2 linked regions of the Saccharomyces cerevisiae S288C genome follow. The protein of the gene in region 1 interacts with the protein of each later gene in a biochemical or structural test. Each region holds a gene or a part of one and is shown in the gene's direction. Other genes may lie near its edges.

Region 1 (5,180 bases):
TTTTTTTTCATTTTCTTTGCAAATCGAAAAGTTCACACTGATTTTTTATTAGTTCTTTTAAGTGCCCAACTTGACAGGAAAAAGAAACACCCCAAAGGGAATACCAGTGTATGTAAGGCTTGAATTATACGTATGAGCATGCGTTTGATGGTTGTCGTCAGAGCCAGTGCTCTGAGAGTGTCCCAGATGACTACAACCCTTGTATAAAAGTACATCTTCTTGATTATTTATCACGACACACGAGGTGACCGATTATTCAGAATCGGTACCAAAAAAGAAAGAAAATTGAAGGAAATGAAAAATTTTCAATGTATTTCTCGAAAGCCTGGAGTTGATCAAATGTTCAAAAAATAGGGCAGAATAGCATAACACACATCAATAACACCGAGCCAGCATGCCTACCGTCTCCGTGAACAAGCAGCAATTATTTGATCTTCTAGGCAAAAACTACACTTCCCAAGAGTTCGATGAATTATGTTTTGAATTCGGTATGGAAATGGACGAAGACACCACAGAGGAGGCCTTGAAAACCGGGGAGGAGCCGGAATTGAAGCTTGATATCAGTGCCAATCGTTACGATTTGCTTTGTATCGAAGGTATTTCACAGTCGCTGAACGAATACTTGGAACGTAAAGAAAGACCTGACTATAAATTAAGCAAGCCAACCACTAAGTTGATCATCGACAAATCAACGGAGCAAATTAGACCTTTTGCTACCGCTGCTGTATTGAGAAATATCAAGCTTAACGAAAAATCTTACGCTTCTTTTATTGCCTTGCAAGATAAATTACATGCCAATCTATGTAGAAACAGAAGCTTGGTTGCCATGGGTACTCACGATTTAGATTCAATTGAAGGTCCATTCCATTACAGAGCTCTACCACCAAAGGACATCAAGTTCGTACCATTGAATCAAACCCAAGAGTTTACTGGTGACAAATTGATCGAGTTTTATAAATCTCCAGAACAGAAAAACAACATAGGGAGATACGTTCACATTATTGAGGATTCTCCAGTCTTCCCAGTTATTATGGACAGCAAAGATCGTGTTTGCTCCCTGCCACCATTAATCAATAGTGAACATTCGAAGATCTCTGTGAACACCCGTAACATTTTGATTGATATAACCGCCACCGATAAGACCAAAGCCGAGATCGTTTTGAACATATTAACTACAATGTTCTCACGTTATTGTGACGAACCATTCACGGTTGAGCCTGTAGAAATTGTCTCTGAACACAATGGCCAATCCCGTTTGGCGCCAAACTTCAACGATAGAATTATGGATGTCTCCATTAAGTACATCAACTCCTGTCTTGGCCTAGATCAATCCGCTGATGAAATTGCTCATTGTCTAAAGAAGATGTCGTTGCATGCCGTTCAATCAAAGGAAGACAAGGACATCTTGCACGTTGACATTCCGGTAACTAGACCTGATATTTTGCACGCTTGTGATATAATGGAAGATGCCGCTGTCGGTTATGGTTTCAATAATTTGCCAAAGGGTGAGAAATTATCCAATGCCAACTTCATTGCCAAACCATTACCAATCAACAAGGTTTCTGATATTTTCAGAGTTGCATCCTCTCAAGCCACGTGGGTTGAGGTTTTACCATTGACCTTATGTTCGCACGATGAAAACTTTAAATTTCTAAGACAATCCGACAATGGTGATTTAGCTGTCAAATTGGCCAACCCAAAGACTTTGGAATACCAAGTTGTTAGAACCACTTTATTGCCTGGTATCTTAAAGACAGTCAAGGAAAACAGAAAACATTCCTTGCCAATCAAAGTCTTTGAAACCGGTGACGTTGTATTTAAAGACGACAAACTAGAAAGGAAGGCGTACAATGAACGTCACTGGGCTGCCATCTACGTGGGTAAGAATTCTGGGTTTGAAATCATTCAAGGGTTATTGGGTAAAATCATGCAAACTTTTAGAACAGAGTGGATTGCAGACTACGGTGCTGCTGCTTCTGGCAGAGGTTACTGGATTGAAGAAGACGATTCTGTGAAAACCTACTTCCCAGGTAGAGGTGCCAAGGTCATGTTCAGATCCAAAGAAGGCGCTGAGCCAAAGCAAATCGGCCACTTGGGTGTCTTGCATCCTGAAGTCATGATGAATTTCGACGTTCCATTCGCTGCATCCTTTGTAGAGGTTAATGCCGAAGTCTTCCTATAATGTAATGTTCTAACAAAAATTTTTACTGATTTATAAAACTTATATAGATAGATAGACACATATATATATCTATATATAGAAACACAACTAAAGTTTACCATGTTTTATATAATATTACTACCGCTACTGAGTAAATGTTTAGCTTGTACTTAACTTTCAAAGACAGTTTTTTTGATAAACATCAGTACATTTAATAATACATCCATACATTTATGTTAATTTGTTTTTCCTTTCCACCTCAGTGCGCTTCTCTTTTGAAAAAATCCTCAACAGGCCACGCGAACAAATCTTACCGAGAATTTCCTAAAATGTTTCAAACTATCATTTAGCTGCATACAATATGTACATTATTAATTGAGATTAACAACTTTACCTGTACTTTACCGTTATCAAATTATAAACCACCAAAACAACAGATTAAGAAACAATGGCCCCAAACGTATGATACTTTAAAAGGAATCCACGCCCGATTACGAAGTCTATGTTTTACTGTTATTGTAATGATTGATTGTACGCGAATAACAAGGAAGATAGTAAAACCAAAAAAAAAAAAATAAAAATGTACGAAACGAAGAAGCGTCTATGTGTTTAGTTGCTTTTCTGTATTTTAAAAATTCACTACTTGAACATTGAACTCTATATCGACTCCCTTCTTTTTATCCGTTTCTGAATGTTTTTTTGTTTGAGATTGTCATATGTGATTGTTAATAGCAGTAGGCAACTTTGTGGTTTCGGGATTGAAAGAAAATCGTGAAATATTCGTTTTTTACTAACATTACTGTTCTGAAAATTTTTACTAATTTTCAATCTTTAATTTTTTTGATATAGACTTCCAGAAAGCAAAAGATTGCCAAGACCTTTACCGTCGATGTCTCTTCTCCAACTGAAAACGGTGTCTTCGACCCAGCTTCCTACGCTAAGTACTTGATCGACCACATCAAGGTCGAAGGTGCTGTCGGTAACTTGGGTAACGCTGTCACTGTCACTGAAGATGGTACCGTTGTTACTGTTGTTTCCACTGCCAAGTTCTCTGGTAAGTACTTGAAGTACTTGACAAAGAAGTACTTGAAGAAGAACCAATTGAGAGACTGGATCAGATTTGTCTCTACCAAGACCAACGAATACAGATTGGCCTTCTACCAAGTCACTCCAGAAGAAGACGAAGAAGAAGACGAAGAATAAATTCATTAATATTATTTTAAATAGAGCATAAGTTTTGTATAATTAAAATCTTCTAAACCTAATAAATATGTTTAATGAATGATTCAATATCAAAAAAAGAAATCCATTGGGCCCTTAGTGCATTTTTATTTTTTTTTTTTTTTTTTTTTTTTTTCTCTTTCTGAATTAGAGTACATCTCATCGCAGGGTCTCTTTTTGCACGTTTTTGATGTTGCTTATGAGACGCTTTGCCTTTTTAACTTCTTCAGTATATTTTAAATATATACCAATTTATTCACAATATCATTACTCTTCTCAGTTTCCAATTAACATGAATCCTAAAAAAGTGGCCCAATTGCCCGTTCACAATAAATCAACGCTTCCACCACAGGAAATAATCGATCTTTTTAAAATAACATTCTTAGAAGAGCTATATCCAAAAGATCAAGACAATGAAAAGTCACCGTTAACTGAACAAATACAGGCGGTAAAATCTGACCTTTATAACAGAGATTACAATGCTGCTTTCAATAACGACTCGAAAAGAATAGCATATTGTTGTCGTTGGTCACCGTCCAGAGCAACAAGTTACGCATCAGTATTTGCACATTTCCCTGAGCTTCTAAAGATTATCAGATGCGAAATTGATGACAAGGACTCAAATGTGCTCTGCATAGGTGGCGGCGCTGGTGGTGAGCTGGTTGCATTAGCGAGCATATTCACTTTATCGAGAGATTTTTCGTCTAAATTTGCCTCTGCTTTGAAAATAGACAACGAAGTAAACAAAAAGCCTAGAAATTTAAACATACAACTAGTAGATATCGCCGACTGGTCCACAGTTGTTGAAAAGCTAACAGCTACAATAAAGTCGAAATGGCTATATGGTGATTCAGAAGCAGAGTCATTTAACGTCAACTTTACCCACAAGGACTGCCTACAAATGACAGAGCCACAAGATATCAAGATATATCAAGGCCTCGACCTAATAACTCTACTTTTTACTACAAATGAACTATTTACACAGAAAAAAGTGGAGAGTATAAAATTTCTGCAACGGTTAAACGAGAACTGTGCCCCAGGCTGCCATCTTCTCATACTAGAGAGTGCAGGAAGCTATTCTCACATTACCATCAACAACAAGAAGTTCCCAATCCAATTTCTTATCGATACTATCTTAGTAGGCAATAGAAAGGACAAGGGAACGACAGGTCCATGGTCACTAGTATCCGAGAACGACAGTATTTGGTATAGAATGGACCCAAAACTCGACTACTCGATTCCATTGGAAAACATGCGATTCTTTTACCGTCTTTATGTCAAGAACTAACAGGCTTTATGACGTTTTACTGTTCTCTTTTCATTGTTCTTTTCTCGAAGAGTTTAGAAAAATTTTTTTTCTTCTCATCCACACCGAAAAAATATTAATAAGAGAGTTGAAAATTCGATTTGGAATCAGAAATAAAGAAGGGGCCACGATCAAACAAGACTCATTTCGAATAATTGTAAAAAAAAATTAGCACAAAACAATATGACCGTTCCCAGGAATCGTCCCATGGCACCATTTGGCACCATTATCAAATCAAGAATAAAACAACCCCAGTTTTATTGGTTTATAGGCCATTTTTTAACCATCTTTAACTTTATACAATTTCATCTTTCAATCACGTCCAAACAAAACCAATTGTCATGCTATAGAAGATCATTATTTTACATATCCGTTACATATGCCATCGTTCTTTACCAGTTTTTCAAAAGTGACCAGTTAAAGTTCAATTTTACGCTTTTGCGCCAAGAGATGAAGAAATTGGATAATTTGCAGTATTTTGCCATGCTATTC
Region 2 (5,227 bases), on another chromosome or scaffold:
ATGTTTTGCTAGAAACTTACCTGATTTGAGCCTAGTCACTATACTGGTTTTCCCCACTGATGAATCTCCTAGCAGTACCACTTTGATGGTTGCTTCCATATCGTATTCCTCCGTATTTTGTGCTACTTGTATTTCCTGGAGTAATTTTACTATCATTGTTCCTTAACGTGAAACGTAAGGCTAAAAAACAATAAACGACAAAAAAAAAACAAAAAAATGAAAAATGCAGAGGAGTTTCTCTGCATTTACTGGAAGCGATTAAATAAGATTGCCTCAAGAAAAGAAGTTATCGGTATAATCTTTTGTAGGTAATGAAGTTTACGTTAGAAGACCAAGTTGTGTTGATCACTGGTGGTTCACAAGGTCTTGGAAAGGAATTCGCCAAAAAATATTATAATGAGGCTGAAAACACAAAGATTATTATCGTCAGTAGGTCAGAGGCTAGACTGCTGGACACATGCAACGAAATTAGGATTGAAGCTCACCTGAGAAGGGAAACCACTGACGAGGGCCAAGTGCAACATAAGTTGGCTGCGCCCTTGGACCTTGAGCAACGGTTATTTTACTACCCATGCGACTTGTCCTGCTACGAATCCGTGGAATGTTTGTTCAATGCCCTGAGAGACTTGGATTTACTCCCTACACAAACGTTATGCTGTGCAGGGGGGGCTGTTCCTAAGTTATTTCGTGGGCTAAGCGGACATGAGTTGAACTTGGGTATGGACATCAACTATAAAACAACTTTGAACGTGGCACATCAGATTGCCCTTGCAGAGCAAACCAAGGAACACCACCTCATCATCTTTTCTAGTGCCACCGCGCTTTACCCATTTGTGGGCTATTCCCAGTATGCGCCTGCAAAAGCTGCAATCAAATCACTGGTAGCAATCTTAAGACAAGAACTGACGAACTTCCGTATCAGTTGTGTTTATCCTGGTAATTTTGAAAGCGAAGGTTTCACTGTAGAGCAGCTAACGAAACCCGAAATTACAAAGTTGATCGAAGGCCCCTCAGACGCTATCCCATGCAAACAAGCATGTGATATCATTGCCAAGTCGCTGGCCAGAGGTGATGATGACGTTTTTACAGATTTTGTCGGATGGATGATAATGGGGATGGACCTTGGGCTCACCGCAAAGAAAAGCCGCTTTGTTCCGTTGCAATGGATTTTTGGTGTCCTATCAAACATTCTGGTCGTGCCATTCTACATGGTTGGCTGTTCCTGGTATATCAGGAAATGGTTTCGTGAAAATGACGGCAAGAAGGCCAACTGAGAGCACATCCACTCTCATTCCCGATATTCCCCGTGACTCTCTTTATTTCTTTCAAGACAAACCCTAGTGGTGTAGCTATTTGTACATGTATAAGTATATACGAAATATTAATTATAACATTATTACCACGGCGATATTTTCCTATTTTTATTCTCTTTTCTTACTATATTTTGAAAGTTTTTCTTATGGGTACCGATGCGATGAGGTGAAAAAAATTTTCCTCTTTCCACTTTTAGTACAGGTTATGAGATGCTTCTCATTAGAAGTCAAGAAGAGAGCATATCAGTAACAATACGATGAGTAGCAGTGGTGTTTATACGTGTAATTCATGTGTCCTGACCTTTGATTCAAGCGACGAGCAGCGGGCCCACATGAAGTCCGATTGGCATCGCTACAATTTGAAAAGACGTGTTGCACAATTGCCACCAATATCATTTGAGACATTTGACTCCAAAGTGTCTGCAGCTGCTGCCAGTACTAGTAAGTCTGCTGAAAAGGAGAAACCTGTTACCAAAAAGGAGTTGAAAAGAAGGGAAAAGCAAGCATTGCTCGAAAAGAAAAAGAAACTGTTGGAAATTGCCAGGGCTAATATGCTTGAAAACATGCAAAAGAGCCAAGAGGGAAATACTCCCGACCTAAGCAAGCTCTCTTTGCAAGAAAATGAGGAGAACAAGGAAAAGGAAGAACCTAAGAAGGAGGAGCCTGAACAGTTGACCGAGGAAGAAATGGCGGAAAGAGTAATGCAAGAAAAGCTACGCAACAGAGTCGATATTCCACTGGAACAATGTCTATTTTGTGAGCACAATAAGCACTTCAAAGATGTTGAAGAAAACCTGGAACACATGTTTAGGACCCACGGGTTTTATATCCCAGAACAGAAATATCTAGTCGACAAGATCGGCTTGGTAAAATACATGTCGGAGAAGATTGGTCTTGGGAACATTTGTATTGTTTGTAATTACCAGGGGAGAACGTTGACCGCTGTAAGACAGCACATGTTGGCAAAGAGACACTGTAAAATTCCCTACGAAAGCGAGGATGAAAGGTTGGAGATATCTGAATTCTACGATTTTACAAGCTCATACGCAAACTTTAATAGCAACACAACACCAGACAACGAAGATGACTGGGAAGACGTGGGCAGCGACGAAGCCGGAAGCGACGACGAAGATCTGCCACAAGAGTACTTATATAACGATGGTATAGAGCTGCATCTACCGACAGGCATCAAAGTTGGCCACAGGTCCTTGCAAAGATACTACAAGCAAGACTTAAAGCCCGAGGTGATACTGACCGAAGGCCAAGGTACCCTGGTCGCTGCAGAGACGAGATCGTTCTTACCTGCCTTCGACAAAAAGGGCGTGCAGACTCAACAGCGTGTTTGGCAAACTGAGAGGTTCGACAAGAAAAGGCTCGATAAGAGAAGTGCCAAGTTCGTCAATAACCAACCACACTACAGAGACCAACTTCTGCAGTAATTCTTTTTGCACTACTTTTTTTAGTATTTTGTCGCATATATACTGCTTCACCATTTGTACATTAGATAATTCTTCACTACCCCCTCTATAGCAATGTTATAGTCATTGAATCATGCTTTGAAATGCCTGTTCTAATATTCTCTTCATATAATAAATGCGTGATGCCGGGTATTTGTGCGCCCTTGTTTGGCGCAAAAATCTCGAAAGTGAAAAAACTAATAGGCTTCTTAAAGCAGTTATATCTACAGCAAAGGAAATAGCTGCTGAAGACTGAAGATGTTGGCGCGCAGTTTGGGTTACAGGTTGATATCGACCAGTCGTATCTTATATAATAAACCCACGGTTAAGTCAGTGGTGTCGTCGTGTCCTGCGGGAACATCGCTTAACTTAAACATATGGAAGAGCGGTAAAGACGCAGTGGCACTCGAGGACAAGGAGTATCCAAATTGGTTATGGAGCGTATTGGATAGTGATCACGTTGTCGAACATGCGGCTGAGGACCCAGAGGGACAGGCTCTCTTAAAGAGAAGAAAGAACATAAGGAAGGCGAACAGGCAGCGAATCAAGCAAAACAATTTCTTGAGCCAACTTTAAGCCTCCGTTAATAAGATCAAGTTTGGTATCCTTGTAAATAAATATGTGTGTACGTGGTTAAATAGTATGTTTTTAGCATAATGCCTTATTTTGTACCAACAAAAACATGATAGTTCCCACATATCTTTTCGCCTGGGGAATACCAAGTGGGACAAACAAAACGTTAAAAATTAAATCCTTTAGAGTACCACAAATTCGCAAGAAACAAGATAGTTGAATTGTCAATCATGGCTAAGATAAGTATGAATGTGCCCAGTGTAAAGATCAAAAACATGCCAAAGGTAAGGTTAAAAAGCACTAGAAAGACTGTCTCCACGAAAAACATGCGAAATAGGTTCAATTCATACTCGAAAAGAATTCGAAGGACGCTCACAAGAAAGAGATTTTAGGCAAACATGAAACGTATGCATTTCATAACACACACATATATATATTATATATTCAAAATAAAGCATAACAACATACATATTGAAAAGTAAATTGAACGTTACGCAGTTTCATCAAATAAGAATAGTATTATTAAAAATTGGCCGGACCAAATATCTAGAAATCCGTTACTCTTCCGTTAAACGAATAATCGCCGTGTCTCAACGGGTCCTGCTTGGGACCCCCAACTTCACCAGTCTTGGGGTTAACATCACCTTCGAATTCAGGTATGGTCTTGGAAAATTCAGGCGAGAATGACCCAATATCGTTTTTGGTTAAAAGCGGTGAATTCAAACTCTCCTTTGTACGATCGCCGGTGGCCTGCGCATTATACTGATCTATTGCCTCTTGCGATGTGGCAATCCTCTGAAGTCTTTCGAACTCTTCCTGCTCTTCTCTTGGCAGCTTGGGAGGGCCGGGGATCCTTTCAGTAGTTATTTTTCGGGTGGCCATATTAAATGGTCGTCCACGTAGTAGATTTAAGGCTCCCGTGCGAGGATACCGATAACCTGTGCTTTTGATGGCGCACAACATTAGTTCTTCTTTTTATTATTTGGTTCTTTCTGACTCTTTAGCAAGTTAATATGATCTGCACTTTCCCCATTGGCCCCTTTATAGGGCGGAAAAGAGCATCTGTTTTTCCGGATTCTTGGAACAAGAAAAAGGAAATACACCTATCTATATGCCACTATTGTATATTACTAAATAAAATATTTAATTATATACTCATGCGTATGCCCTCAAGAAGTTCACCAATAATTCTTTGGTTTCTGCTGTTACCTTTTATGGTATTCAGGATCCCAAAACACTGCAGCAGCGTCAGTTTATCTTCCTCTGTGACGCCGTTCTGTTCTTCCTCGCTGAAAATATATCTTTGAAAACTCTTACTGGCACCGTCATTTGTATGTAGGAAGCTTTCGTAATACGGAAGAATGATGGAGTCTCTAAAACACTTTAATAAAAGGACATCAATTGACGGTGCGTACCTTGAAGGTTCAGATAGATATCCGTCAAGCCAGTAGTTACTATTTTTTTGGAAGCTTTTCTCGAAGGGCAGTAACACTGCCATCATGTCGTAGTAAACCTGTTGGTAAAACACCTTCCAGATTATGCCGACTCTTTTCAAAGCCGTATTTACGGTATCCTCATTGGCATAATTGAACACAATCTGGTTCTCTAAAATGTAAAGTGAAGTGGTAATGAATTCCTCGATTTCGGCCAAAAACCTTGAGTGCGTTACGGCAGCCTTGGTTTGTGTTTTCAAAGTGATATAAAATTCCAGCAGCCGGTCAATATCTTCTATTTTTGCTGGCAATTGCCATACCCTCTTGTTTTTAAATAGCTCCACAACTATGCTGCAGTATATACCCCAGATATTCCCCTCCAGAACAAATAACTCCTGTACGGTGAAGCTTTTATAGTTTGCTATCAAGGATGGCAAGTTTTTCAGTAAAT

Evidence for each region. The genes of interacting proteins can lie anywhere in the genome.
Region 2: the proteins of RPL22A (region 1) and REI1 are reported together in a solved structure, tested with the Saccharomyces cerevisiae proteins (2 studies listed by BioGRID).

Annotation. Positions count from the first base shown.
Region 1 is NC_001144.5:260,585-265,764, forward strand, and holds RPL22A (60S ribosomal protein eL22 RPL22A), read left to right. Parts: upstream 1-2,609; coding exon 2,610-2,621; intron 2,622-3,010; coding exon 3,011-3,364; downstream 3,365-5,180. Other genes in the region: FRS1 (phenylalanine--tRNA ligase subunit beta), read left to right, coding at 395-2,182; BMT6 (25S rRNA (uracil2843-N3)-methyltransferase), read left to right, coding at 3,573-4,670; PER33 (Per33p), read left to right, coding at 4,872-5,180.
Region 2 is NC_001134.8:738,271-743,497, forward strand, and holds REI1 (Rei1p), read left to right. Parts: upstream 1-1,570; coding exon 1,571-2,752; downstream 2,753-5,227. Other genes in the region: Rab family GTPase YPT10, read right to left, coding at 1-99; TSC10 (3-dehydrosphinganine reductase), read left to right, coding at 312-1,274; SLM6 (Slm6p), read right to left, coding at 1,666-2,118; mitochondrial 54S ribosomal protein mL54 MRPL37, read left to right, coding at 3,029-3,346; SDH8 (Sdh8p), read right to left, coding at 3,890-4,306; BIT2 (Bit2p), read right to left, coding at 4,491-5,227. UniProt on the Saccharomyces cerevisiae protein: Pre-60S-associated factor involved in the cytoplasmic maturation of the 60S subunit. Involved in the dissociation and recycling of other late pre-60S factors like ARX1, TIF6 and ALB1 before newly synthesized large ribosomal subunits enter translation.